Linked DNA regions of Canis lupus familiaris. The protein of the gene in region 1 purifies or fractionates together with the protein of each later gene. This does not show direct contact. Links are inferred from orthologs where the notes say so. Each region holds a gene or a part of one and is shown in the gene's direction. Other genes may lie near its edges.

The links.
Region 2: the proteins of LRRK2 (region 1) and PRDX3 purify together in Homo sapiens (co-immunoprecipitation; 3 studies listed by BioGRID and IntAct, with this or other methods). This does not show direct contact. The link is inferred for Canis lupus familiaris from reciprocal best matches to the Homo sapiens genes LRRK2 and PRDX3.
Region 3: the proteins of LRRK2 (region 1) and DNM1L purify together in Homo sapiens (co-immunoprecipitation; 6 studies listed by BioGRID and IntAct, with this or other methods). This does not show direct contact. The link is inferred for Canis lupus familiaris from reciprocal best matches to the Homo sapiens genes LRRK2 and DNM1L.
Region 4: the proteins of LRRK2 (region 1) and SLC25A11 purify together in Homo sapiens (co-immunoprecipitation; 3 studies listed by IntAct, with this or other methods). This does not show direct contact. The link is inferred for Canis lupus familiaris from reciprocal best matches to the Homo sapiens genes LRRK2 and SLC25A11.
Region 5: the proteins of LRRK2 (region 1) and MYO1B purify together in Homo sapiens (affinity purification with mass spectrometry; 3 studies listed by BioGRID and IntAct, with this or other methods). This does not show direct contact. The link is inferred for Canis lupus familiaris from reciprocal best matches to the Homo sapiens genes LRRK2 and MYO1B.
Region 6: the proteins of LRRK2 (region 1) and SLC25A6 purify together in Homo sapiens (co-immunoprecipitation; 3 studies listed by IntAct, with this or other methods). This does not show direct contact. The link is inferred for Canis lupus familiaris from reciprocal best matches to the Homo sapiens genes LRRK2 and SLC25A6.
Region 7: the proteins of LRRK2 (region 1) and MYO1C purify together in Homo sapiens (affinity purification with mass spectrometry; 3 studies listed by BioGRID and IntAct, with this or other methods). This does not show direct contact. The link is inferred for Canis lupus familiaris from reciprocal best matches to the Homo sapiens genes LRRK2 and MYO1C.

What each region holds. Positions count from the first base shown.
Region 1 is NC_049248.1:33,158,482-33,162,459, forward strand, and holds the start of LRRK2 (leucine-rich repeat serine/threonine-protein kinase 2), read left to right. Parts: upstream 1-1,178; 5' UTR 1,179-1,280; coding exon 1,281-1,434; intron 1,435-1,688; coding exon 1,689-1,774; intron 1,775-3,978. UniProt on the Homo sapiens protein: Serine/threonine-protein kinase which phosphorylates a broad range of proteins involved in multiple processes such as neuronal plasticity, innate immunity, autophagy, and vesicle trafficking.
Region 2 is NC_049249.1:29,700,318-29,704,324, reverse strand, and holds the start of PRDX3 (thioredoxin-dependent peroxide reductase, mitochondrial), read left to right. Parts: upstream 1-1,207; 5' UTR 1,208-1,233; coding exon 1,234-1,269; intron 1,270-2,817; coding exon 2,818-2,953; intron 2,954-4,007. UniProt on the Homo sapiens protein: Thiol-specific peroxidase that catalyzes the reduction of hydrogen peroxide and organic hydroperoxides to water and alcohols, respectively. Plays a role in cell protection against oxidative stress by detoxifying peroxides.
Region 3 is NC_049248.1:30,406,259-30,409,692, forward strand, and holds part of DNM1L (dynamin-1-like protein), read left to right. Parts: intron 1-556; coding exon 557-613; intron 614-1,517; coding exon 1,518-1,595; intron 1,596-1,598; exon of another isoform or gene 1,599-1,914; coding exon 1,915-1,947; exon of another isoform or gene 1,948-3,434. UniProt on the Homo sapiens protein: Functions in mitochondrial and peroxisomal division.
Region 4 is NC_049226.1:31,882,071-31,886,227, forward strand, and holds SLC25A11 (mitochondrial 2-oxoglutarate/malate carrier protein), read left to right. Parts: upstream 1-1,357; 5' UTR 1,358-1,478; coding exon 1,479-1,573; intron 1,574-2,186; coding exon 2,187-2,339; intron 2,340-2,424; coding exon 2,425-2,631; intron 2,632-2,798; coding exon 2,799-2,889; intron 2,890-2,982; coding exon 2,983-3,073; intron 3,074-3,159; coding exon 3,160-3,259; intron 3,260-3,340; coding exon 3,341-3,392; intron 3,393-3,512; coding exon 3,513-3,668; 3' UTR 3,669-4,114; downstream 4,115-4,157. Other genes in the region: E3 ubiquitin-protein ligase RNF167, read right to left, coding at 111-191, 324-834, 1,139-1,183. UniProt on the Homo sapiens protein: Catalyzes the transport of 2-oxoglutarate (alpha-oxoglutarate) across the inner mitochondrial membrane in an electroneutral exchange for malate.
Region 5 is NC_049258.1:1,637,215-1,641,471, forward strand, and holds the start of MYO1B (unconventional myosin-Ib), read left to right. Parts: upstream 1-1,457; 5' UTR 1,458-1,576; intron 1,577-4,033; exon of another isoform or gene 4,034-4,195; intron 4,196-4,257. UniProt on the Homo sapiens protein: Motor protein that may participate in process critical to neuronal development and function such as cell migration, neurite outgrowth and vesicular transport.
Region 6 is NC_049260.1:869,270-873,501, reverse strand, and holds the start of SLC25A6 (ADP/ATP translocase 3), read left to right. Parts: upstream 1-1,432; 5' UTR 1,433-1,561; coding exon 1,562-1,672; intron 1,673-2,641; coding exon 2,642-3,128; intron 3,129-3,719; coding exon 3,720-3,860; intron 3,861-4,232. UniProt on the Homo sapiens protein: ADP:ATP antiporter that mediates import of ADP into the mitochondrial matrix for ATP synthesis, and export of ATP out to fuel the cell.
Region 7 is NC_049230.1:45,590,846-45,594,345, reverse strand, and holds part of MYO1C (unconventional myosin-Ic), read left to right. Parts: intron 1-323; coding exon 324-503; intron 504-583; coding exon 584-682; intron 683-888; coding exon 889-1,002; intron 1,003-1,090; coding exon 1,091-1,162; intron 1,163-1,445; coding exon 1,446-1,565; intron 1,566-1,655; coding exon 1,656-1,738; intron 1,739-1,921; coding exon 1,922-2,027; intron 2,028-2,143; coding exon 2,144-2,224; intron 2,225-2,485; coding exon 2,486-2,577; intron 2,578-3,500.

The sequences.
Region 1 (3,978 bases):
CTACGGAGCGCAAACTCAAATTTCCAAAAGTTAATTTTAGTGAACTTTTGGCCAACGGAGCTTTACGATAAATAACTGAGGGGGCGGGAGGAATGGGTGGCTGGGTGGGAAGGGATTTGCTCCCCTACAAAAAGCCACAGCAACCACAGGAAAAAAAAAAAAAAAAAAAAAAAAAAAAAAGAGCCTTCAGCCGGGCACATTTTGATTGCAGAAATCCCTCTCCATCCCTGGTGGGAAATTATTCATTTCCCTATAGGGGGAACTCTAAAGAACATGTTCTCCTAAAAGGGGCCAACTGGGCGGTGCCCTCCTTTCCCGACGCCCAGATTTCTATTCTTAGATCTGGAGATAGGCGGCGGCTTTCATTTTTTAGGTTTCCTAGCGGGCGGCCCCTCCGCGGCGCTCAAGGAGCGGGGCCCGGGGCGCGGCAGGGGCGGCGGGAGGGGGCGGGGGCGCGGCGGGAGGGGGCGGGGGCGGGGGCGGGGGCGGCGGGCCCGGGCCTGGGGCTCCGTTTCCTCCCGCGCGACTCCCGGCCGCGCCGCCGCGGGGAGCAGGAGCGGGTCCCGGGAGGCGGCGCTCTCCGGGTCGGGGACCGGGGCCACCCGGCCGGGCCCAGCCCCAGCCGCACGCGCCCTCCCTCGGCCGAGCCTCCGCAGGCCGCTGAGCTCCTCTTTGCGGCCCTGGTGGGGGAGGAGGCAGCCGGGGAGGAGGGCTGCGGCGAGCGAGGGCGGCGCGGGGCGCGGGGCGCGGGGCCTTCCTCCCCGAGCGGCGGGCGTGGGCGCGGACGGGGCGGGCGGGGAGCGCAGGCTGCGGCGCTGAGCTGTGCTCGTGCCCGCGAGCGGCGGCGGAGCCCCGGGCCCGGGTCCTAACCCCGGGTCCTAACCCTGGGCCCTACCCCGAGCCCTAACCCCGAGCCCTAACTCCGGTCCCTAACCCCGCCCCCTACCCCCCCCCCCACCTCCCCGGCCCCTGCCCCAGGCCCTGCCCCAGCCCTAACCCCGGGCTCTAACCCCGGGCTCTAACCCCGAGCCCTAACCCCGGGCTCTAACCCCGGGCTCTAACCCCGAGCCCTAACCCTGGGCTCTAACCCCGGGTGCTAACCCCGGGCTCTAACCCCCCGCTCTAACCCCGAGCCCCAACCCCGGGCTCTAACCCGAGCCCTAACCCCCGGCTCTAGGCTCTAACCCCGAGCCCTAACCCCCGGCTCTAACCCCCGCCCCTATCCCGGCCCCAGCCGCCGGCCTCCGCGAGGGAGGGACCCGCGTGGAGCAGAGTCCGTCATGGCCAGTGGCAGCTGTCAGGGCTGCGAGGAGGAGGACGAGGAAACTCTGAAGAAGTTGATAGTCAGGCTGAACAATGTCCAGGAAGGAAAACAGATAGAGACCCTGGTCCAAATCCTGGAGGATATGCTGGTGTTCACGTACGCCGACCACGGTAATGAGTCGCAAGGAAACTCTCTCCTCCGCTCCCCTCCCGCCTCTTTTTTGCAAACTTTCTCCCTCGCGTTTTTCCGAGTTGCACAAACCTGGGCTCGTGAGAAGCCACAGACTGTCAACTCCTTAGGGCAGAAAGGAGCTGAGAATTGTAGGGAGGTCTTGCGCTCACTTCTTTTGCTTTCTCCCCCTGTTTCATCCCCTGTGCGTGGATGGTGACTTTGCTTCTTTTTCCCTCACCCCCTTCTCTTCCAGCCTCCAAGTTATTTCAAGGCAAAAAAGTCCACGTGCCTGTGTTGATCGTCTTGGACTTGTATATGAGAGTCGCTAGTGTGCAGCAGGTAAAGGAGTTGTTTTCATGTCACCCGTTCTCCTTTCTGTCTGGAAATAGATGTTTTTCTGTCAATATTATACACCCAAAAGTTCTGGGTTAATTCTGGCATTTGGCTTCTCAAACCACTGACTGTGATTTGAAGAAGGAAGCGATACAAGTCATGGTCAAATGTTACTGATGTGAAAGGGCCCGCTAAGAGCTCCCTAATTGTTTTGGAGAAGTAGGTTTATACAACTGACCTACAAAATATGGTTGGTGGTGGGTAGGAAATAATCAGAAGTTGAAATTTACTTCTGTGATTGGCTAGATGAGTTCACCAGTATCAGCATTTAATCAAATTATTCTAAGAATCTTACCAAGAACAGCATGTTCTAGAGATGACACCGCTGTGAACAGTTAGGGAAAGGAGAATAATTAGCCACTAAAAAATTAATGATGATTAAATTAATAAAATGAAGTAACTGGCAAATTCTCATAGGTTTAAGCTTTGTTTCTTTCTTTTTTAAATTTGAGAACAGATTTCTGGCCTTTAATTGTAGTGTGCATTGTGTTATCTAAAGAAAGCGATGTCTTAGCATCCTCCTGTAAGTTTATATTTGTATTTTTCAACTCTTTTCATATAAACTGAATATAAAAGTGAGACTTAAAATCAGTACCACAGGAAACACAAAAATTTGTTAAATGCCTTCAATATATTAAAAAAAATGAAGATGATAATTGAGGATGATTTACAGTCAAAACAAATGATTGGCTAACATATTGACTTCCTTTGTAGAATTTGAGATTTAGAGAACTGAAATCAGGCACTTGCATGTTGTTGGGTCCTGAAGAGAAAGAGAATTGAACTTTGAACTCTGTCAAGGTGTAGTCAGAAAGCCAGTGTTTCTTAATATTTACTGGAGAGGCTAGACGCAAGTAGGAATTATCTGGATCTCTAAATCTGTATCTACCTTTATCTTTATGTTCATTCATCTCTGTATCCAGCTATGTCTAGTCTGGGTGAACCATATTCCTAGCTTCTTTTAAATGAGGACATTTACATTTGGGATAAATGGTTATTTTAAATTTTCTTCAACTGAAACATCTCCCATCTGACTATTGATTTTCAAGTTGTTAGCAAACAAAATCATGAAAAGATGGGAGGCGTGATAGAGACACTGTTCGTTTTAGCATCCAGTGCCTGAATTTTGCCCATGAAATATGAGTCACATTTTAGAGCTGGCCCATTGTGCTTGCTGCTTCCCTCCCACATCATCCCTTCTCACTTGCCTCTGCTTTGGTGTTCAGAAGTGCCTTGTCTGGCAGCTTCTATTCCTTGGCTTCCGTGCATGGTATAGAGGATCTTCCTGTTGGGTGCCACTCAGAACCCGCGGGACCTTTGGAGGGCTTGCTGTGCAGGGTCCAGAGAGGCAGTGCTAAACTTGAGAATCCAGGGGAGGCTGGAACAGACCCACCCACCACTTCATTCTTTGTTTTAGAAGCTATCCACACCTGGACATGTTTGCATGGAGTGGCTCTGAATGCCACTTAATACCTCGTCCAGTGGGTACCGGAGACAAAGTATGCAAGAAAATAAGGAATTGTCTTTTGATTTGGTTACTTAATGGAATAGAATTATTCATTTCCCCACCATGTATTAGTCTGCAAAAGGCATGTTATCCCATCATTTAATTCTCACTGGAATCACACTGCTCTCTCAGAAATCTCACTGGACATTTTTACCTTTACATTTTACCAGAGCTAAGTACCACATTGCTAATGACAGAGCCAGGACTCAAGTCTTCACATACCTTCAGAATCTCTTTTCACTATACGTTCTGAATTCACAAGCTTTTCGTGCAAGTAAGAAGTACAGTGATTTGTTACAAATACTGTGGCCTTGCTAGGCACAATTACATTATCAGTTTTAATTATCATTGGTCTTATCAAGGGAATATAGAAAGGGGTCACTTTACCAATATTTTAATACTCCACTTAAAGTGGTTTTTTTTTCTTCAGATTTCTTCATATTTGTGGTGTAATATATATATATATATATATATATATATATATACACACACACACATACACACACACACATCCTTTAATGCTTTATATGTTGAGTTAGTTGGAAGTGCTGAATTAAAACTTCTGAATGATGAATTGAAGAAGGTAAGGTAAATTTAAAAGTAAATATTAATGTTTCTTTCCAGAATTCATTTAATGTGATAT
Region 2 (4,007 bases), on another chromosome or scaffold:
TAGCTTCTAAGGCAGTCCATTCCAAAGCATGGGGCTGGTACCCACTGCAGTACTAGTGGTGCATACAAGTGCATTTATGTGAGGAGCAAAATAAATAACATTAAGGCCCAAAGTGAAAAAATTATTACCCTTTTAATGTTCTTTAAATTCTTCCTATAACATAAAGAGAACCCCATGTGATACCAGGATGTTGCTAGCCATCTCTCCGTTTCCCTTTTTACAAAGTCTCAGATTTTCAGCAGGCAACTGTACCTACTTGATACTTAATAACATTTTGTTTTAATGTGTTTATTTTAATTACTTTCTATGCATAGCAAGTTATAAGGTTTTCCATTTAAGTTATTTAACATATTCTTTCAAATAAATTCATTTACGTTTTTCAAAATTGAGTCAACTTAAAGAAAATAGTAAATAATATGCAGATGATATGCAGATTCAAGAAACTATGTTGGTAGTGGAATGACTGATATCCGGAAAATACCTACTTAGAATCTGCATTTACCGAAAAGCCAACGTGTGATTTTTATCTGTGTTTGATGAGCTTGCTTCAAAGTACCATGATCACCACTGAGCACTTAGCTTTCTAATTGACAGAAAATAGAATTTAAATGTATCCCAGTTCTTCCAGTTTTGGGAAGAGAGGCCAATGGAAGTCCAGACAGCATCCCAAAAGTTTTCAGAACCCAAAAACTTGATGTGTCTGGCCCACTTGGCTTATTAACGGACAAAAATTGCATTAAAATTAATTCCGTTTCCTGCAGAATCCAGAAGGCTCTACCGAGGCCATTTGCAGGACGGGTAGAAACAGTTATCCACACAGGTTAGCCATATAAAGCAGAAGCTCCCCACCTGGATTAGTCCTTTTTAGGATGGGGCGACACTTAGAAGTAAGGTATTGTTTTCCTGAGCATTCCTTTACTTAGAAGCCGCGACGGGAATTTTCTCCTAGAATTTTCTCTTCGGAATTGGGGCTGAGGCACTTGACAGGTGAGTTGACCCAAGTAAGGTCCAAACAAAAAGGTGGGGAAGTAAGTCATCTTTCCCGCCCGGACTCCAGCCCCGCCCCCCAGCTCGGGCCCGGCCCCGCCCCCCGCTCGGGCCCCGCCCCCGCCTGGGCCTGGCCCCGCCCCCGCCGGAGGCCCCACCCCGGGCCCGCCCCCACAAGCCCCGCCCCCCACAAGCCCCGCCCCCTCCGCGTGCCCGCCAGTCCCGCGAATCCCGCGCGCACTGAAGATGGCGGCCGCGGTGGGAAGGTTCCTCCGGGCTTCGGTGAGTGCCTGCCGGCGGGGGACAGGCGCGGAGACACAACAGTGGCTCCGAGGACGTGCTTCCCACATAGGATCCTGCTCCCTGCGGCCGGGGGCGCCTTTCGCCCTGCTTGGAGGGCGCCAGCGGGTAACGGCCCCGGAGGCCTCGGCCGTAGGGAGTGCGCCTGCGCAGAACCGTCCCCCGCCCCGTTCCCGTCCGCTCCTCCAGCCCCTCCTCGCTCCGAGTCGAGGGTCCGCAGCCCTCCGTGCCCCTGAGCACCTCGCCCGGGAGGCAGGCGCCCTGGCCCCCGTTCCCTTTTCTGTAGCTACTCTGTGACCTTGGACACGTGACTTCCCCTTTCGGAACCTCGGTTTAGTGTCCTCGCCTTAAGGTAGAAAGAGCGATGCCAACATCAGGGCGTTGCAGCGAGTATCTACCAAATGGTGGATGGAAACCAAAGTGCTGAAGTACGGAGTGCTAAGGTGCAAAAGGCACTTTGCGCTTTGGCATTCCTCCCATCCCCTAGGTCTGTCCCCCTCCTCCCGGCAAAGCCTAGTACCCTTTTGGTAGCCCCCCTCCCCCTTCTCCTTGGCTTGGTTGAACTGCAAGGCTCTTCTTCCCTGAGTCATGCTAGACGCGATAGTTGAGCAAAAAAATAATCCCCTTGAGGCCTGTTCAAAATTTCCCAGAGTGTGAACTTTGCTCTACTTGTTTGCTTGTCTGTGGGGGCTTGGCCTTTTCTGGGAAAACCTTGACATGATAGAACATGCTTATTAGCAGGTCATGCTGGTAAAGGGCGTAAATACGCAGGGCCTGGCCAAGTCCCCTTGGTTTTTGAATCCTCTGTGTTCTTAAGAGCGTGGAGACTTTATCGTCTTATAATTCCCCTCTGCTTTGCAGGGTTTTTAAGAATTATGTATATATTTTAAAAATAAAAGTTATGTATATTTAAGATGTACGACAAGATGATTTGTATACATATACATAATGAAATGATTACTATAGACCAGCATCTCTTCACATAATTACCGTTTCTTGTGCTTGATGAGTGATGAGTGTGCCTGAAATCTACTCTCTTAGCAAATTCCGAGCACCCCGGGTGGCTCAGCGGTTTAGCGCCTCGTTCAGCCCAGGGCCTGATCCTGGAGTCCCGGGATCGAGTCCCATGTCAGGCTCCCTGCATGGCGGCTGCTTCTCCCTCTGCTTCTCTCTCTCTCTGTCTCTCATGAATAAGTAAATTAAAAAAAAAAAAATCTTAGCAAATTCCTAGTGTTCAGTACAGTATTAAGTATAGTCATCATTACCCTACATTAGATCTCTAGACTAATTCAGCCTACATAACTGCAACTTTGTACCCTTTGACCAGCATCTCCCCATCCCCCTCTTGCAGTCTTGAGAAAGAAGGAAGCGGAAAGGAATGTTAAAGAACATTGAGATTCATTCTACACTGTTAAGGGGTTTGGTGTTTAGTTCACAGGAACAAGGATTGGTGAGGCCCAATGGCCTGGTGCTCTTTCAGCCGGGCCAGCCTTCAGGCTACTTTCTAATATAAAGTGTTTCTCTTTCCAGATTGCCCGACATGTGAGTGCTATTCCATGGGGCATCTCTGCCTCCGCAGCCCTTAGACCTGCTGCTTCCAGAAGAACATGCCTGACAAATGTATTGTGGTCTGGTTCTGGTCAAGCAAAATTCGCTTTTAGCACCAGTAAGTATTATGCCTTGGTTTGGCCCAGGCAGTATGAATCATCTCGCGCCATGGGCTCTGAAGCCTGGCTATGCATTAGACTCGGTTGGGGAGCTTTGGAAACTATACCACTACCCCAGTCCCACCCCTGACAAATTAAGTCAGTATCTGAGGTGAGACCAGGACATCATTTTGGTTTTTTGGTTTTTTAATCAGAATGTAGTTGTCATAATATTGGTTTCAGATGTACAGCATAGTGATTCAAGATTTATATACGTTAGGTGGTGATGACAATGATAAATCTAGCTGCCATCTGTCACCATACAAAGTTGCTATGGTATTATTAACTATTCATTGTGCTGTCCGTCCCCACCCCACCCCCCCGTCCATCTTTCTGTAACTGGAAGTTCATATCTTTTAATTCCTTTATTAGTATATTCTAAAAGTTCACCGAATAATTCTAATGTCCAGTCAGGATTGAGAATTACCGAGGCACACTGCTCTTGTGTCACATTTCCTTGTTGGTCACCAGAGGTTTTTATGTTCTGTGTTGAGGAACACATAGGTTGGGGGAGTGGGGGGACTCAGATGCTTCCTGGGCCCTGTGTGTGAGGGGACATGAGATAATTGGCAGTGGCTGACAGTCTGTTAGAACCAAGGCTTTTAGATTCAGACCTGGCCATGTTAGAGCATGGATTCCTCCATTATCTGGTATTTCTTGAGATTTACACTGCATTTTCTAGAATGTGGGCTTTGCTAAGATCAGCCTCAGATAATGAGTGGTACTTGAAAATACCTCCTTTAGATTTGTCCCACACACCCCCCCCTTTTTTTTTTTTAAGATTTAGTTATTTGACAGAAAGAGAACACAAGTAGGGGGAGCTGCAGGCAGAGAGGGAGAAGCAGACTCCCCACTGAGTAGGGAGCCCTATGTGGGACTCAGTTCCAGGACTCTGGGACCATGACCTGAGCCGAAGGCAGATGCTTAACCTACTGAACCACTTTAGCAAAGCCTTCGTTTGTGGGCAAAACGTTCTGAAAAGTTTCACAGTTCCACAACCCTGGAGCTTTAAAA
Region 3 (3,434 bases), about 2.8 Mb from region 1:
TGTTAAATTAGGTTTTTCTCTACTTTTATTCTGGGAGAGTTTAGAATAAAGGAAATGGAACATCCTGAAAGGATAACCTCTACCACAGTATTCAGGGTTTTGTGGGTGGGAATTGTGTGAATTTAACACAGAGGTGTGCAGGGTAGAGTGATTTTTAAAGGCTTACGTTTTCTGTCATTTGTGCGCTTAGAAGATTCCGCATGGTGTGCTGAAGGCTTATGCACACGTTTATGTGGGGACAGCTGAAACCATGGACGCCTAGTGGGAAAGGCAGAGATGTCGGCCCATTGCCCCTCAATTGAGAATCCCTGGTACAGGGAGCCACTATAACTGACGTTATATTGTATCCTTCAGGTGTGTTGGGCAGAAAAAAAGATTGAGAAGCATTGGGTTAAATGATTTGTTTGTTTTAAAATAAAATTGTGGCATGAGTCCCAACAGTGAGAGGATATACTGTAAGTTATCCACACTTTTCAATTCAGCTGAACATTTTTTAGTAGGCTTCCATCTCAGTGCTCTGATAATCACTTTGGTTTGGTTTGGTTGTGTTTTATAGGAACAAAGGAGAAACAGGCTAGCAAGAGAATTACCTTCAGCTGTATCACGAGACAAGGTAAAAAAAACAGTATTTTAAAAGTATATTCCCAATATGCAAAGGATTGATTGGTAAGCCTTAATACTACTCAGTTCTAGGAATAGTCTTTTCTTCGTCTCCCTTTACTATTTCATTGGAACTGTTTCATTGTTTGGGTGAAGATATGCAAGTTTATTTAAAAATAGGTTGAAGTAAAAGATAATGGTATCTTGAAAACATTAGAAAAAATGCTTAAAGGTGAATTTTAAATACCAAGCTTTTATTTATTTTTTAAAAAGATTTATTTTAGAAGAGAGTGACAGTGCACACAAGAGAGGGGGAGCGGGATCAAGGAAGAATGAGAGAGAGAATCTCAAGCAAACTCCAGGCTGAGAAGAGCCCAACACGCGGCTCCATCTCAAGACCCCCAGATCATGACCTGAACTGAAACTGGGAGTAGTCAGAGGCTTAACCAGCTGAGCCACCCAGGCACCCCAAAATATTGAGCTTTTGAAACAAAGCTTATGGTGACTTTATCAACTTTGTAAAATTAGTTGAAATGACTTTACTATAACAAGGCATTTTGGAGAGAAGATAATGTGCACATAATAGGTTTTGGTTTTCTGTAACAGTTGCATAGATTAAAATGTGTGTATACAAATGTGTTATCTTGAATTCTTTACCAGAAAAGATCTTACCAGATTCCAAAAATAAAAATGAAGTTTTTGAATTTGGATTTTTCTTAGATATTCATCTGAAGGTTTTTTAACGAAGGTGACAATAAGAAATACGAATAAGCCATAATTTTCTATCCCATAATTACTTTTATTTCTCATGTTACTTTACTATTTTGATACAGAGAGGAAAAATTTACATTTATAGAACGTTTCTGAATGCACTTTTGGCATCCTTGATTTTCTTTCCCTGCATTTTTTGCCTTTAGTCTTATAAAGTTCCAAGTGCTTTGGCACCTGCCTCCCAGGAGCCCTCCCCTGCTGCTTCTGCTGAGGCTGATGGCAAGGTCTGTTCTGATTCTTAATCTAAGCCTGCATGCCTAGTTGTTTGGTGCAACATAATCATCTGGAGACACCACACTGTACAGTAATAGCAGAACATTAATGTGGGATATTGTGCTAAGGTTAAATCATTTCATTCTAATAGGAATCTTAAATTATATAACAGCGTATACTTTATAAATTATTGTTGACATGCCTTTGCTTGTAATAAAGATGCACACAAAAATAATTTAAAGAGGAAATTATCCTGCACTTTTGAAATTCAGGCTATTGGTATTTAAATTTTGCTTGTTAAACTGCATGTTTTAACATATCTTTTAACAGTTAATTCAGGACAGCAGAAGAGAAACTAAAAATGTGAGTCTCTTGCTTCAGAATGGAAATGTACCTTTGGTTCTCATTGAAACACTGTCTTCAAAACCATTGGAGAAGCTGTTTGTACCATAGCATCTGCTCCTTGTCTGTGTTCCATTTTTTGTTTCTCTTACCTAACTAACCCTTCTAAGATGGCATTAGTTCTAGTTTTAACATTTCCTTAAATAACAACTACAGGCTTTCTCCTAGTTTTGATTTTAATATTGTGGTAGGGAATTGAGATTCCAGAGATGAAAGTTAATACTTTTGAACATTTCCTCTTTAAAGGCTCTGAGCTCTGTCCAGTACTAATGGATAACCCTCTCCTGCTTTCTTGTGCTTCCATGCGGTTTGCCTTGTCACCCTAAACACGTAGCTTAACATGTGCCTTGGCAGCTTAAGCAAATTCAAAACAGGGACTGCGAGCGCTTGAGACTGTCAATTTTTGATCATCTTTTTTTGGGGAAAATGAAATCATCAATGACTCATTCAGACCCATCCTTATTTCTGGTTTTTCTGTCTTTGGCTCCTTTCCTCACTTAATTGTCCAGATGTAAGGTTCTGAACCTCAAAAGTTTATAAAGGTCTTACCTTCTCTCAGCCCACTGTGCTGAGGATTTATTGCTTTAAGTTTTATTTCACTCCTAGCATTAATCATTCACTGGTGTTTAAAGATACAGTTACTCATTTTAACATTAGTGTATAAATATACTGCCTGTATTGAGCTATGGCATATCTTAACTAGCATATTTGAGGCAATCTGGGCCAGTATTTTGATTCAGAATGATACCCCAAACTGACTTTTGGAAAAATTAAACAGTGATATTACCCCCAAAAGGCTAGTTAACCATTCATCACCCTATAATTGACCCCCAGGTTCTTTTTGTTTTGAAAGCTGATTTTTTTTTTTAACAATTGCCATAACACTCTGTAATATCTTTTTAAGGAGCATCTAAAACTATTCTTAAATGTTGATGAGTTACTGTTTTTTCCATTATCCTAAACATTCTTTCTTGTATAAACTAACAGCTATCCTAGAAAAGAAGCTGCAAAAGTACTTGTGATTACTAGATTTCTTTCCACATTTTAGGCAGCTTCAAAGTCACTGCCAGCCTAAGAATTGTGAGTGTATTCTTGTTTTATTAGTTTTATTCTATGGTATTTTGTTGACCAGTAAAGATGTAAGCCAACTTAGAAAACTCTGGAGAGATCATACATAGTTCAATAATGTGTGAGATTACTTTGAAAAAATTAGGCTAAATGGCAGCTGTTTTTCCTTGTGCTTTTAATAAGTACTCTTGTTTTTAAGGGCAGTTTATGCTTTTCCCACAATCTGCTGTTAGAGGGGTTGGAGAAGAGGAAGAATATTAAAGTTAGCAAACGATAAAGAAAAATTAAATCTGTTGGCTGAGGCTTGCAAAGAAATGACAACAAAACCTCTTGTTTATGATAGCTCAGGGTTCCAGTTATAGATGCCACCTACCATCTTT
Region 4 (4,157 bases), on another chromosome or scaffold:
GCGCTCCTGCACCTGTACTTCCTACACTGCGAGGGCAAAGGGCTGCCCTAATCCCCTTCCCCGCCCACAAGAGAGGATGTAGGGAAAAGGGTCAAAGGGAAAGCAATCACCTGAAGTCCCTCCTGGCTCAGGGCAGCCCCAAAGAGAGCTGGCAGGTCTGCAAAGTCCATGCTGGCATTGTGGTCGGAGGTCTGCGGACAGGAGAGCCCGTGTTCCCCCAGGAGCCTGCAGCCCCGCCCTCCGGCGCCCCCTCCCCGCGCGGGGGACGACACCCCTGCAGCCCCGCCCCCGGCGTCCCCTCGCGCACAGGTCCCCAGACTCACCGCTCTGATGAGCGCCCGCGCGGGGGACGCTCCCCACAGCACGGCGGCCACGACCACAGGAAGCGGGAAGGCCGCGGGGCGCATGGCAGCGACGGGGGGATCCCGAGGACGCCGCGTCCCGGCAGCAGCGGCACAAGCGGGGTTCCGCGCCCTCTCCGTCCCCCTTCAGAATCCCAGGGGTCCGACCACCCCCAGGCCCCGCTTCCCAGCTACATGGGGGCGCGGGGGTCGAACCCTGGGTCCGGGAGCGGGGTCCCCAGCCCGGCCCGTGGAGCAGGGAGGGAGACACCAAACAGATCCTCCGCGGGCGCAGGGACAAACCCGGGAAGGGGGCCCGGAAGCCGGCACAGGTGACAGGAGAACTTCTGGCAGGGTGGGGACGCCCCGAGAGGCGGGACTTCCGGGCAGGTGAACTGTCTTCCTCGCGGCTGGAAAAGGGCTTCCGGGAAAGAAAGTCAGGCCGCCTCCGGCATTGGGCGCTCAAGAGGAAGGACTTCCGGTCCTGAAAGGCCTGTCAAAGGAAAGGTTGGGAGTGGAGGGAGGGTGGGTGGAGGGCGTGCCTCTGCAGATGCAGCGAGCGCCCAAGCCCCAGCAGACGACCTAGTCGTTCCCCCTCTGACGCCCGGGATCTCGGAGCGGTCCGATTTACGAACCTCTCCACCATCCCGGGCCCGCCGCCGCCGCCGCGGCCGCGGTACCTTCCAGTCTCGCGAGAGTCCTCGCCACACTTTCCCTCCCACCCTCCGAATGCTCGCTGCGTGCTATCGCGAGAGACACCCTCTTTCCCCACCCCATACCCAGGCCAACCTCCACACCTCGCTCTGGCTTCCCAGGCGCACTCTGTCTCGCGAGATCTCCATACCCTCTTATTTTCCCGCGAGTCCAATCTCGTGAAAACTGCGTCTAAGCTATGGCTTCCTGAGCCGGCCACACCCCTTCCCGCTCCCCTCCTGGAGGCCCCGCCTTCGGCTCCGCCTTTCTCCCGGCCGCCTTTGCGCCGCGCGCCTGCGCCTGCGCCGGCTTCCAGCTGGAGCTGGACCCGAGAGCCGGAGGGGCGTGCGCGCGCCCTCGGCCCTGTTGCGCGCGCGGTGTCACCTTGGGCGCGAGTGGGACCGCGCGCGCACAGGACCCGGCGCCGAGGGCCACTGAGCGGCGATGGCGGCGACGGCGAGTCCTGGGGCCGGCGGGGTGGACGGGAAGCCCCGCACCTCCCCTAAGTCCGTCAAGTTCCTATTTGGGGGCCTGGCAGGGTAAGCTCGGGCCCCGGGGCCGGGAAGGGAGGAGGAAGGGCCGGTTGCAAGGAGTCGGGCCCGCTTGGGATTCGGGTGTGCGGCACGGGGTCAGCGCGGTCCCCAGCGCGTTGCCGAGGTTCTTGATGGCTGCCAGGACTTCTCACCCAATGCACGGCCCCCGCTGGGCTGCGTGCACCCTCCTTGCTCGCAGCCTCCTTGCTTGGCCCCCCGGCCTTCTCTGGAGTTTCGCACCCACTGCTTGGCTCTCCCGGATCGTGTGCGGTTCCAGGTCATTGCATGGTACCTGTCGGACTGGGCGAAGCCGCAGGTCATGAGTGCCCCCTCTCCTCTCTCTGGGTGGGACTGCAGGCAGTTTCAGGTCACCACTTGACCCCCTTGGAACTCCGTGGAACACTTTCACTGTATGGCCCTCGCTGGACTGCTGGACTTTTCAGACCTGTGGCTGTTGGTCCACGCAGAGACTTACACACATAGCCACTAGCCTCCTGAACACTTAATTAATCACGTGGCAGGCCCTGTACCTTGTGACATCTCGTTGCTAGGTTCCAGTGGGCATAGGACGGTAGTCAAGGGACACCTGGCTTTTGACCCTGCTTCTGTCTTCTTCCAGGATGGGAGCTACGGTGTTTGTGCAACCGCTGGATCTGGTGAAGAACCGGATGCAGCTGAGCGGAGAGGGAGCCAAGACACGAGAGTACAAAACTAGCTTCCATGCCCTCACCAGCATCCTGAGGGCAGAAGGGCTGAGGGGCATTTACACTGGGTACTGGGGCCACAAGATGGGGGCGTAGGGTATGGGTTGGCAACTCCAGACCTGGGCCTGATGCACTGACCCCTTCGCTCCCCAGGCTGTCAGCTGGCCTGCTGCGCCAGGCCACCTACACCACCACCCGCCTTGGCATCTATACGGTGCTGTTTGAGCGCCTGACGGGGGCTGATGGTACACCCCCTGGCTTTCTGCTGAAGGCCCTGATTGGCATGACGGCAGGTGCAACTGGTGCCTTTGTGGGAACGCCAGCTGAGGTGGCACTCATCCGCATGACTGCCGACGGCCGGTGAGTTCCAGGTCTGAGCCTGCCCTAGCTCTGTTCCCTGGAATCTAGACTCAGAATGGATTTCTTGGTCTGGAGCAGAGCACTAATGTGTCCTGGCCTCCCTTTCTTTGCTCCTGTGGGGCAGAGTGGTGTATCCTGAGCTTGGCCTCTCCCCACCTTCCCACTAGGCTTCCACCTGACCAGCGCCGTGGCTACAAAAATGTGTTTAATGCCCTGATCCGAATCGCCCGGGAGGAGGGAGTCCCCACATTATGGAGGGTGAGTGAAGGGGATGGAGACTGGGGATCAGGAGGGGGCAGGTTTCAGCCATTTCTGACACCACAACCTCACCCCCGTCCCCGCTCCCCACAGGGCTGCATCCCTACCATGGCTCGTGCTGTTGTGGTCAATGCAGCTCAGCTCGCCTCCTACTCCCAATCCAAGCAGTTCTTACTGGACTCAGGTGAGACCCAGAGCTGGGCCCTCAGCCCCCGGCCTTGCCCCGGGCCAGCTCCGCACTGACTGTCACCCCTGCCTCGCCTCCCCCAGGCTACTTCTCTGACAACATCCTGTGCCACTTCTGTGCCAGCATGATCAGTGGCTTGGTCACCACTGCTGCCTCCATGCCCGTGGACATTGTCAAGACCCGGTGAGTTGTGCAGGCTTGGTCCTGGAGCAGAATGGGAGGACCTGCTTTATGTTTCTCATACCTCTGTGTCCTCTTCTCTAGGATCCAGAATATGAGAATGATTGACGGGAAACCAGAATACAAGAATGGGCTGGTGAGGAGGCAGAGGCGGGGCCGGGGGCTGGGGCAGGAGGGTGGGGAGGGCCATGGGTATAGGGATACAGCCCTAGAAGCCAGATCCTGGTTCCAGCGCCCTGCCTGCCTGCCTGTTTAGGACGTGCTGGTGAAGGTTGTCCGCTATGAGGGCTTCTTCAGCCTGTGGAAGGGCTTTACACCGTACTATGCCCGCCTGGGCCCTCACACCGTCCTCACCTTCATCTTCCTGGAACAGATGAACAAGGCCTACAAGCGTCTCTTCCTCAGCGGCTGAGGCGGGCAAGGGGCCTGGAGCCGGTGTGCTGGGGCTTCTGCTTACCCGCTACTCTCACCCGGGGGCCTGGACTCTGCCACCCTGGGCCCCTCTATTTATTTTCCCTCCACAGTGTGGTTCTGTCCTCTGCCGTAAAGGACTTGGTCTGTCCTATCCCTGCTCCGCCTTGCTCTCCTGGTCCTGATCCTCATGACCTCTCTGCCCCTGGCTGTGCCTTGGGTGGGGGAAAGTTGGGAAACTCTGCAGGTTTCCAGGCCTCCTCTGGGGTGTTAGTTTCAGGGCATGTAGGATGGCAGAGACCCCCCCCCTTCTTGGTAAACCAAGGCAGGGCCAAGGGACAGGAGACAGTAGAAGCCGTCAGGATGGTCAAGGTCTGCAGTGGAAGGACGTGACCCTTCCTCCACCTCACCGAGGACATGATCAATAAATTGGATTGATGACACCACCCCCCAGATCTGGATAGTTGTGGGGGTGGGAGGGGAGGAGGCT
Region 5 (4,257 bases), on another chromosome or scaffold:
CGCACAGCCCATCACGGGTCCTTCCCCACCGGCCACTGATGCGCTGTTCTCAGATGCACGGGGGGGATTTGAAATCTCTTTCAAATCTTTTCTGTTTTCTGCAGCAGAGAATTGGCCGGTGTCTACTCGGCAGGATGTGAGATGTTGAAAGTCTCGTAGGGAAAAGTATACTTGGCTGCTCCGCTCCGTCTTTTCTCTTTCCGATGAAACCACGTTGTTGGGTAGCCCGAGATTTTGACCTAGGCCCGCGGGCTCGGCAGCTGTTGCCGCCCCCTGCTCTCCCCCCACCCCTAGCCCCTGCTCCCCCCCTCCCGTGTCACCCCCCTGCCCCCCCTCATGCCCCCGCCCCCTTGCTCCCCCCAGCCTCCCCTGCTCCCCCACCCCATCACCCCTGCTCCCCCCATGCTCCCCCCACCCCTACCCCCCTGCTCTCCCCATCACCCCCTTCCCCCCTCATGCCCCCGCCCCCTTTGCTCCCCCCCAGCCTCCCCTGCTCCCCTGCCCCATCACCTCTGCTCAACACCCCCGCCCCCCTGCTCCCTCCCCACCCGTCACCCCCTGCCCCTCGCCCCCCCCCGTCACGCCCCGCCCCCATTCCGCCGCCCCCCCTGCTCCCTCTACCTTGTTACCCCCTGCTTCCCCCTACACCCCCGCCCCCTGCTCCCCCCCATCACCTCCTGCTCCCTCCTGCTCCCCTGCCCACCCCCCTGCCCCCTCTGCTCCTTCCCCGCCCCCTGCTCCTCCCTACCCCCCTGTTCCCCTCGCCCCCTACCTCCCTGCTCCCCCCTTAGACCCCCTCCCTCCGCTGCTGCCTCCTGCCGCCCCTGCTCCCTCCTCGCCCGTCACCCCCTGCCCACCCCCCGCTCCCCCCTGCCCCTCTGCTCCCCCTGCTCCCCTGCTCCCCCTACCCCCTGCTCTCCTGCTCCTCCCACACACCCCCACTCCCCTTGCCTTCCGTCCCCCTTGCTCCCCCGCTCCTTGCCCTCCCTGCTCCCCCCCCCCCGCCACCCCTGCTCCCCCCTGCCCCTCTGCTCCCCCACCCCCTGCTCCCCCTACCCCCCTGCTCCCCCTGCCCCCGTCTCCCATGCCCCCATGCCCCCCTGCTCCTCCGCCCCTACCCTCCCTGCTCCCCCCGCCCCGCCCCCCCAGCACCCCCCAGCACCCCCAGCACCTGGAGCCGCAGCCGGGGGCCGGGCGGCAGGTGGGAGGCAGGCCGCGCCCCCCCACCCCGACGTGCGCGCCCCTGGGTCCCGGGCGGGGCTCCCGGCGCTCGGTCGCGGGGGGGCGCTGTGCGGCCGGCGGGGCGCGGGCGGGGGCGGGGGCGGCGGCGCGGGGCTGCGGGCGCGGCGGGGCGAATCCCAGGCGGCGAGGTCGGCGCCCCCGCCCCTCGGCCCACCCCTCGCCCCGGACAGGGGAGGGGCCGCCGCCGCCGCCGCCCCGCTCGCCGCGCCCCGGGCTCCGCGCACTCGGGCACTCGGGACCCGCAGGACGGCGGGCGGCCGGGTCGGAGCGGCGGCCGCGGAGCCGGGGAGCGGGGAGCCCGCAGGCCGGGCCCGGAGCGCGACCACCGCCCCAGGTAGCGCGAGCGCCTTCCCCGCGGCGGCCCGGGCGGGGGCGGGGGGTTGTGCGCGGGGCGGGGGGCGCGGGCGCGGGGTCCCAGGCGCTCTCCTCCTCCGGCCCCGGTGTCGCGGTCCCCAGCTCGCGCGGACCTCGGCCCCCTGCCCCGGGGCGGGCGCGGGGAGAACAATGGGGCGTCCGGGCAGCGGGCTTCAGGCGCGGCGTGCCCCGGCGGCGACCGCGCGGGGCCCCTTTGTTCCGCCGCGGCGGGGGGGCTGCCCCGGGGCTCGCTGCCGCCCGGGACGGGCCGCCCCTGGGTGCGCGGGGCGGGGGGGGGGGGGGCCCGGGGCGGGCGGCGGGGGAGCAGCGAGGGGAGCACGGGGGAGCGCCAGGGGGGCACCGGGGAGCAGCGGGGAGCACGGGGGAGCTCCAGGGGGGCACTGGGGAGCAGCGGGGAGCACGGGGGAGCTCCAGGGGGGCACCGGGGAGCAGCGGGGAGCACGGGGGAGCATGGGGGAGCTCCAGGGAGGCAGCGGGGAGCACGGGGGAGCTCCAGGGGGGCACTGGGAGCTCTAGGGGGACACTGGGGAGCACTGGGGAGCTTCAGGGGGCGCACCGGGGAGCACTGGGGGGCGCACCGGGGGGGGGGAGGCGGGGGAGCAGCGAGGAGCACCGGGGAGCTCCAGGGGGCCACCGGGGAACACTGGGGGGCGCACCGGGGGTCGGCGGAGGTGCACCGGGAGCAGCGAGGAGCACCGGGGAGCTCTGGGGGGCACCGGGGAGTACTGGGGAGCTCCAGGGGGCGCACCGGGGAGCACTGGGGGGCGCACCGGGGGGCGGCGGGGGAGCAGCGGGGAGCAGCGGGGAGCTCCAGGGGGCGCACTGGGAGCCCCGAGTAGCACCGAAGGGCGGCCGGGGGCGCCGGGGGCGGGGGAGGGCGTCCCGCACGCGGCGCCTGGGCCGGGTCCGGGGCTCCGCGGCTGGTCGGCGGCGCTTTGTTCCGCGGCGGCCGAGCGCGTCCCCGCCCCCCCCGCGGCTCCCGGCGCCCCTTCGCCCCAGCCCGCCCGAGCTGCGCGGAGCCGAGGGCGTCGCGGGTCGGGGCGAGGGTGGCCGCGTCCGGGTCCGGGGCAGCCGCGCACGGATCGGTTCGGCGCAGAGGGGGCGGCGCCGTGACGCAGCGCAGCAGAGCCCGGGAAGGTTTGGGGGCGCCGCCACGGTGCACCCGGTGCACCCCCTCCCTACCCGGGGCCCGCGATGCGCGCCCCCGACCCCCGGGCTGTGAGCGGAGCACCACCCCCACCCCAGGGTGGGCCGCCGGGGGCACGGAGGGAGCCGCCTCCGGATGCTCAGAGGGGTCCCGGCCTCCCTGTACACGCAGCGCCGTGCACACCTGTTGGGGGGCCCTGCTCCAGGTGGGCATGAGGGGCACACCTGTTGGGGAGCATCAAGGAGGCCGGGGAGGGGGTGCAGGTGGACCTGGAGAGGGAGCCGGGGCATTGGATGATGGGTGTCCTCCAGTGGGGTGCTCCCGGCTGACTGTTGGCAGGCCCCAGACACTTCCAGGCACTCCGGGTCCCTGCCTGTGGGACCCTGGTGGCCGAAGGATCCCCCAGCGGCGGAGGTTAGGACCCCGCGGTGGTAGCCCGGGAGACCGGGCTGCAGGTGGGCCGGCAGGTGCCCCAAGGACCCACGGGGTGTGACCCCCCCACACCCCGCCTTCACGGGGACAACCAAGTTCGAAAGCCTCTTAAGCTGAGAAGGGGAGTGGGAAGCTCACCCCCGGGAGGGAAGGAACACTTGCTGCCCACGGAGCATCCCACGGCATGGGAAAGGGTTGTAGGGGCGGGATGCGGGCCTCCTCAGGCCAGGCTGGGGGGCTGGGGGCTTGTCCTCCGGAGCCGGTGGCCGGGAAGCCGAGGTGGCCGCAGCCAAGCAGCAGGCGGTGTGCCGTCACAACCCACACCGCCCGGCGGCGCACCCGGGGGACAGGGAGCCTCTGTCCCCCTTGTTGCGTTGCCACTTTGGAGCTGTGGGCTGCTTTGTGGGGTACGGCACAGCGGGGCCCCCCAAGTACTCGTGGAACCTACAAGAACAGCAGCAGGCCTGAGACGGTGGTCACTGCCGCGGGAGCCACGGGGCACGGGCTCCCCCGTGGGTTGTCTGGCCAGAGGCTCTCCCCAGGGGTGTCCCGCCGTGTGGGGGGCTACTGGCTGCACCCCCTTCCTGGGTTGCAGTGAATCACCACTCTGTCAGGCCTGGTGTTCAGACTCCCCCTCCCAGGTCGCTGCACAGTTAGGTAAAGCGAGGAGGAGCCTCGGACCTCAGCGGGGAAGGAGTGGGGTGCAGGGCAGGAGCAGCGTGTCCTCTGTGTCCTCCCTATCCTGAGTGTGAGGTCCTGTGAGGTCCGGGTTTTTAGCATTCGGCCCCCTTTTGGGTGACATTCGCCCCTCTTCCCCCCGCCTTGTATTTTTAACAGCTTGGTGTTTGGGTTTTCGTTACGTACGTAGCCCACCGGTAGTCGTGTTCACGGTGTGGAACGGGTGTTGCGTGCATCACACCCTGCTGAGGACCCCACAGCCCGCTGCAGCCCCGGAGCTCACCGGCCTGCCCCTTAGGGCCCTACTCCTATAGGGAACCGGTAAGTGCCGGAGGTCAAATTTGAACTCCCATGTCTGGTTCGAAGTCCATATGCCTGTAAAT
Region 6 (4,232 bases), on another chromosome or scaffold:
GGACGGAAGCGGAGGCAGGGACAGGAGAGAGACAGGAAGAGAGACAGGGAGGCCTAAAGCCAGTCGGGCGGAGCCCTGAGGGCGCCTCCCGGAGCTGGAGTCCCGCTGCGGCCAAGCCAGCGAGCGACACACCTTCCACTCCGAGCGACACACCTTCCACTCGGATCGCTCGCTCGGTTACAATCCAGTAAGAGGTTCAAGGTCAATGGAACGTTCCGCAGGACACCGTGTCCGGGCTTGAGCTTCCCTCCTGGGGGTGCCCGGGGTGTGTGTGCATGTGTGTGTGCAGGTGCACGTGTGTGTGCAGGTGCCTTCTGCGTGTGCACAGGTGCCGTCTGCGTGTGCAGGTGCACGCGTATGTGCAGGTGCCTTCTGCGTGTGCACAGGTGCCGTCTGCGTGTGCAGCTGGACACACAGGTGCATGTGCGTGTGCAGGTGCCTTCTGAGTGTGCGCAGGTGCCCTGTGTGTGTGCAGGTGCACGAATGCACAAGTGCGTGTGCGTGTGCAGGTGCCCTCTGTGTGCAGGTGCACGCGTGTGTGCAGGTGCCGTCTGCGTGTGCACAGGTGCCGTCTGCGTGTGCGTGTGCAGGTGCCTTCTGCGTGCGCAGGTGCCCCGTGTGTGTGCAGGTGCACGAATGCACAGGTGCATGCGTGGCCGGCTCAGCATGGCCCCGTGCAGCGAGCGCCGCCGCGAGTCACCCATCCATGCGGGCTGCAGCACCCCCACATGAGGGCGCGGGGGTCTTGGGGGGGCCCAGGCTTGGGCTCGCTGGGGTTGGTCTGGGGCGTCCGCATGGGCCAGTGGGCGGGGCGCTGGAGTGAGGACGGGTCGGGCGGCCAGTCGTGGGGACTGTGGGCTTTTGGAGGGGGGAAGTGCAGGTGGCAGGCGACCTGACCTTGCGGTCTTCGAGCTGACCTTGGGGTCTTCCAGAGGAGCCCGGGGCCGCGACGTGACCTCGGGGTCAGCACACGGGGCCAAGGGGTCGCGGTCGGGGGACGGGTCGCGCAGGGTCAGGGTCGCGGTGCTGGGCGCGCCCGGGGGGCCAGCGGCTGGAAGGAGCCCGAGCTCGCGGACCCGCCGCCGCCGCCGCCCCCTCCCCCCGCCGGGAGCGCCCAGGGCCCGCGGCGACCTTCACAAGGTCACGGCGGCGGCCGAGCCCTCGGGCCGCACGGCGCATGGGCGGGGTCCCGCTCCCGGCATGCCTCGGGGCCCGGCGCGCGGGAAGGGGCGGGGCAACGGCAGCAGCGCAGCCAATGGGCGCGGCGCGGGCGGGCACGGGGCGGGGCGCGCTGCGGCTCCCGGCAGCCCGCGGGGGCGCGGCGCGCGGGAAGGGGCGGGGCGTCGGCGGGCGGCGCGGCCAATGGGCGCGGCGGGCGGGGGCGCGGGGCGGGGCTTCGGGCCCTTAGCGGCTGCGCGCTGGGCGCCCCGTCCTTTCGGTCCCGGCGGCGGCAGCGCGGAGCCAGCGGCGCCCTCCCTCCCTCCCTCCCTCCCTCGGTTCGCCCGTCCGTCCGGCTGTCCGCGCCCGCACTCCGCCGTCCGCCGCCCGCCCGCCCGCCGCCATGACGGAGCAGGCCATCTCGTTCGCCAAGGACTTCCTAGCCGGAGGCATCGCCGCCGCCATCTCCAAGACGGCCGTGGCCCCGATCGAGCGGGTCAAGCTGCTGCTGCAGGTGCGCACGGCGCGTGCGCGCTCGGGGACCCGGGACGGCGGTCCCGTCGGGGGGGGGGGGTCCGGGCGTGCTGCGAGGGCTCGCGGTGGGGGGTGACAGCGGGGCGGGCCGGCCGCGTGCACCGGGACCCGCGGCCGCCGGAAGTGCGAGGCCGCGCCGCTTTGTCCGCGCGCCGCCCGCTTCCGGGGCCGGGCCGGCCGCGCGTCACGTGGCGCTCTCCGCGCGTGCGCGCTGGGGCAGAGCTCTCGGGCGCCCGGAGCGCGGGCCTCGCCCCCGCGGTTCCCACCGTCGAGGCCGAGCGGACCGCGGGAGCCCCGCGAGCGCCCCCTGTGATGGAGGCCGGGACTTTGCTCCGCCCCGTTCCGGCCTGAGAGGCGGCGAGCCGCGGCGCTCCGCTGGGAAGTCGTTGCGCCCGCGGCCAGCTGGCGGCAACATTGTTGCAGCGCCTCCTTGGCAACATTGTTGCAGCGCGTCCTTGGCAACGTTGTTGCGGGTGGGGCAGTGGGAACATTGTCGGTTGACCCGTGCGGACCTGCGGGGACCAGTGTCCTGGGCTGTGCCCCGTCCTGTCGAGCCAGTGCACGCTCCCGTGCACGGATGAGCGGTGCGGACTTGCAGGGACCAGTGTCCTGGGTGTGCCCGGTCCTGTCGACCCAGTGCGCTCCTCCCGTGCACGGATGAGCGGTTCCGACTTGCAGGGACGCGCCTCCCGGGATGAGTGCCCTCCGGTGCTGGGTTGACCGGTGGTGTCCTGGGCTGTGCCCCATCCTGTCGACCCAGTGCGCTCCTCCCGTGCACGGTTGAGCGGTTCCACTTGCAGGCATAGGCCCCCCCGGGATATGAGCTCTCCCGTGGAGCTACCGTGCTCACATGCAGGAATTCCCCTCCAGGGACTCGCCTACCCTAGGGACGCTGGCTGGTACTGCGTGCGGGCCCTCTAACGAGCCTGTCCGCCCGTCTATCTCGCAGGTGCAGCACGCCAGCAAGCAGATCGCCGCCGACAAGCAGTATAAGGGCATCGTGGACTGCATCGTGCGCATCCCCAAGGAGCAGGGCGTGCTGTCCTTCTGGAGGGGCAACCTGGCCAACGTGATCCGCTACTTCCCCACGCAGGCCCTCAACTTTGCGTTCAAGGATAAGTATAAGCAGATCTTCCTGGGGGGCGTGGACAAGCACACGCAGTTCTGGAGGTACTTTGCCGGCAACCTGGCATCAGGCGGGGCCGCGGGCGCCACCTCCCTCTGCTTCGTGTACCCGCTGGATTTCGCCAGAACCCGTCTGGCGGCTGACGTCGGCAAGTCGGGCACCGAGCGGGAGTTCAAGGGCCTTGGAGACTGCCTGGTGAAGATCACCAAGTCCGACGGCATCCGGGGCCTCTACCAGGGCTTCAACGTGTCCGTGCAGGGCATCATCATCTACCGGGCGGCCTACTTCGGCGTCTACGACACGGCCAAGGGTACGTGTGTTCTTGCTGTGGGGCTGCACGTGCGGCGGGGGCTCCGGGATCCGCTGTTGGCAGAGCCGCACTCTGCAGGGTGGGAAGTCTGACATCCACACGTCCACGGGGTTGCTGGCGTTCGTGGCGTCTCCTCGGTGTGTAGATGGCAGTTTTGTCCGTGTGTCCTCACGTGGGCCTCTTCTGTGCGTCTGAGTTTAGATTTTTTACAGGGTGTTGATGGTGTTGGATTAGGGTCTCCTCTGAAGACGCTTTACACTGTTTTTTAAAGGCAGTTATTTTTAGGTATCCGGGGTTTTCAGCGTGAACATTAGGGTGTGCCGTTCACACCCTGAAAGCTAGTGTCTGTGCAGCAGAACCGCCTCTTGTGTGGTACATGCACTTACCAGGCTCGCCTGTCCCTCTCTGTAGAGAGAGCCCGTTCGTTCCCAGGCACTAAGCGTGGGCCTCAGGGACCGCTCTATGCCCTGCGGGTGGTTCCATGCCGTTCCCTGGTCGCGGGGGCTCCACGTGGCACCAGGGCAGGCAGTACTGCTCTTGCCCCGCTGTGTGTGTGGCACTGGAACCTAACGCTGGCTGGTGACCCCGCAGGCATGCTCCCAGACCCCAAGAACACGCACATTGTGGTGAGCTGGATGATCGCCCAGACTGTGACGGCCGTGGCCGGCGTGGTCTCCTACCCCTTCGACACCGTGCGGCGGCGGATGATGATGCAGTCCGGGCGCAAAGGAGGTACGTTGTCTCGGTCCTGGTGACCGGGACTTGTCCTCGGAGATGAGAGATACAAGAGCTCCTGGAATGACGGGCCCTTTGGTGGCCTCAGGCCATGGGAAGCGGGGCTAACAGATGAGGTTCTTCACAGGGTTTGAGACCGTAACTGTTGATCCAGGGGCGCTAGAACCCTGCAGCCCTGCCGGGTACCTGCCCGGGCCCTTGGTGCTGCCCGTGCTTTGGTCTTCTCTACGCTGGCCCGGGACCTTGCACTGATCCCAGGAGTGGACACGGGGCTGCAATTTGGGTGTTTTGGTTATAGCCACAGCAGTGGGCTGAGCAGCGGCCAAGACCTGGAGCTGTTGGTGTGCAGAGCCTCATTTTTCCCTGGGA
Region 7 (3,500 bases), on another chromosome or scaffold:
ACTGCATAGCATGAGGGGCAGAGTGACCAATGGCCAACATGGGAAGAGGGGAGCTCATCTGAGGAGGGGGATACCAGGAGTTCAGTTCCAGGCCTGTTGGTGTGAGCTGCCTGTCAGACAGCCAAGGGGAACAGCCAGGTAGATAGGGCTGCATACACTCATTTCTTAGATGAGGATGTTGAGGCCGAAAGGGGTGACTTGTCTGAGTCCATGCAGCTAGTGGCAGCACTGGAAATAGAGGCCAGGAATGCAGAGGAAGGAGTGGAAGCTGGGCCACATCCCCAGGCCCCCTGAGCCATCACCATGTCCTGCGCTGCCCACAGGGTGCTCCCGTGGGTGGCCACATCCTCAGTTACCTCCTGGAAAAGTCCCGAGTGGTGCACCAGAACCACGGGGAGAGAAACTTCCACGTCTTCTACCAGCTGCTGGAAGGGGGCGAGGAGGAGATGCTGCGCAGGCTGGGCTTAGAGCGGAACCCCCAGAGTTACCTGTACCTGGTGAAGGTGAGTAGCAAGTGGGCAGGGCAGACACCGCCCAGGGAGCACAGCACCAGGGCTGGTAACCCACCCTGCCCTTCACCCAGGGCCAGTGTGCCAAAGTCTCCTCCATCAATGACAAGAGTGACTGGAAGGTCGTCAGGAAGGCTCTGACAGTCATTGACTTCACTGAAGATGAAATTGAGGTGAGACCTATGCTGGGGTCCCTTCCTGCCCTCCCTCTACACCCTGAAAATCTCAGTCTCCTTTTATAGCCCATGGCCACTTACAGCCCCCTTGTCTCAGACACTCCCCTACCTCTAACCTGTTCCATCTGACTGGTCACTGGTGGCCCTTATGGGCTGTCTGCTCCTCCTGTGACACGCCCCCCACCCTCTCCCTGTTCACCCAGGACCTGCTCAGTATCGTGGCTAGCGTCCTGCACTTGGGCAATATCCACTTTGCTGCTGATGAGGAGAGCAATGCACAGGTCACCACCGAGAACCAGCTCAAGTATCTGACCAGGGTGAGTGGACTGAGCAAAGGGCAGGGGCAGAGCAGGCGGGGTGAGGAGGAGCGCACCCTCTCCATGCCCACCCCTCCTCCCTTGGCAGCTTCTTGGCGTAGAAGGCTCAACGTTGCGGGAAGCCCTGACACACAGGAAAATTATCGCCAAGGGAGAAGAGGTGAGGCCAAGCCTTTGTCTCAGGAGGTAGGGGTTGAAGGGTGCAGGTGTTCCAAGGCCTCTTTCTGGGACTCCCACCTCCGGGAATGAGGCCTCTTGTCCCTGTGCCATCTTCCCTCTGATGTGGCCACCGTGGCCTTCCCCAGTGTATCCCCAGTGTATCCTTCCCGGGAGCCGGGAGGATAGCATGGTCATGGTTTTCTGGTGTTTGGCCCTGAGCCCATAGAGCAGGGGGATGGAAAGGAGTCTGTGGCATTCTTCTCCTGTCTCACCCTGGCCGGCAGCTCCTGAGCCCACTGAACCTGGAACAGGCTGCGTATGTGCGAGACGCCCTCGCCAAGGCTGTGTATAGTCGTACTTTTACCTGGCTGGTCAGGAAGATCAACAGGTCGCTGGCCTCCAAGGTGAGGGCTTGGCCGGTGCTGCTTCCGAAGCAACAGGGAGGCCTGGGGCTGGGAACTATCACACACCAGGACCCATGCTCTTGGCCCTAGGATGCCGAGAGCCCCAGCTGGCGGAGCACCACAGTCCTTGGGCTTCTGGACATTTATGGCTTTGAAGTATTTCAGCACAACAGGTCAGCATCCCTTCCCCCTGTCTGTCTCTCCTCCCATCTGCCCTGTCCTGGTCCCCACCTCCCCCTGCCTCGTGTTCCTGACAATGCCCCCAGCCACCTTGAGTCCTGCTCTGTGTGTCTCTCCCCTGCTCCTGGTTCTGTGTACCCCTTGAACTACTGTGGGCTCTTCTGTTTCCCTCACAGCTTCGAGCAGTTCTGCATCAATTACTGCAATGAGAAGCTGCAGCAACTCTTCATCGAGCTCACCCTCAAGTCGGAACAGGAGGAATATGAGGCAGAGGGCATCGCGGTGGGTGCAAGCCTGCAGGTGTCCCTGTGGACACCCTGTAGGAAGCCAGGCATGGGGTCTCCTAGAAGAGGTGCTAGGACCCCATGATGATGCCTTCCTTCCCTTTTGTCTCTCAGTGGGAGCCTGTCCAATATTTCAACAATAAGATCATCTGTGACCTGGTGGAGGAGAAGTTCAAGGGCATCATCTCCATTTTGGTGAGCCCTCTGCTCCTCCAAGGCCTCATGTTGGAGGCTGAGTGGGAGGATGTTACTCCCTTCCTGTAGGCATGTCCACAGAGGGCCCAAGTTTGGTGTTGAGCAGGGACAGGGCAGGGCTGTGCGTCCCTAAAGGGAGGTGTTGGCCTGGTCTGGAAGTTGTCTGTGGGAGGCTCCCTACGATCTGCCCCATTCCCTGGGCCTCCTGAGCCCTCCAGCTCCTTCCCTGATACACCCCTCACCTTCTGTCACACACCCCAGGATGAGGAATGTTTGCGCCCTGGGGAGGCCACGGATCTGACCTTCCTGGAGAAGTTGGAGGACACAATCAAGCACCATCCGCACTTCCTGACGTAAGTGGGGTTGCAGCGCAGCGTAGGGGCAAAGCCCATGAAGCATGAGATCCCCCTACAATCGTAAAACACCAGCCACAGGGAGATGACCAGGGGAGGTGTCAGTTGAGGATGGGCGCACAAAGCTGCAGCTTGCGGTGCATCCACAGAGTAAGAAGCTAAGAGGAGTGTGGCTCCCTTTTTATTCTTGCCTGAGAATGAAACTTGCTAAGATCTTTTAGTTTCCTTGTGTGGAAGTTGGTTTTTCTTTAAGAAATCCCCTAAAGTGAGAAGGAGAAGAAAACAAGCACCTCTGCCACAGCTCTGGCCTGCTTCTTTTGTTCCCATCGCCTCCTCTAACCCGAAGCAACCCTATAAGGAGGTGTTCGTGGTGCTTTCTCCACTTTCCTGAGGCTCCAAGAGGTGAAGTCATTGCCCAAGGTTATCGGATACTTAGTAGGCTGCAGAGCTAGGACTTAGGCCTGGAGCTGTTAAATGCCAAAGCCCTGAGCATTTTTGGCTTCATGGTATCTTAAAAACCTTCTCCGATTGCAAAAATAATATTGCTCATTAGAGAAAAGTTGGAATGTGTGCAAAAGCCACTTGTTATCCTGTCACCCAGAGGTCATCACTGTTAACAATTTGAGGCATTTCCTTCCTGCCTTTTTCTATATGTTGGGTTATTTTTTTTTATATAGTTGAGAACTTGTTGTGTATAAGGTTCAGAATAATGTTATATCCTGAGCATTTTCCTGTATCATCAAACACAAAAATTTCCTCAAAACACTTCCTCCAGTGCCTCTAACTCACAGATACTCCACTGCTCTCACCCAGCCTCTGGGGGCCCCGGCCAGCCTCCATATTTTTCTGCTGGGTAACAAGGCTGCCACAAATACCTTTGTGCCTTAAAACTCTGCCTATATTTCTGGTTAGTTGCTTGGAAT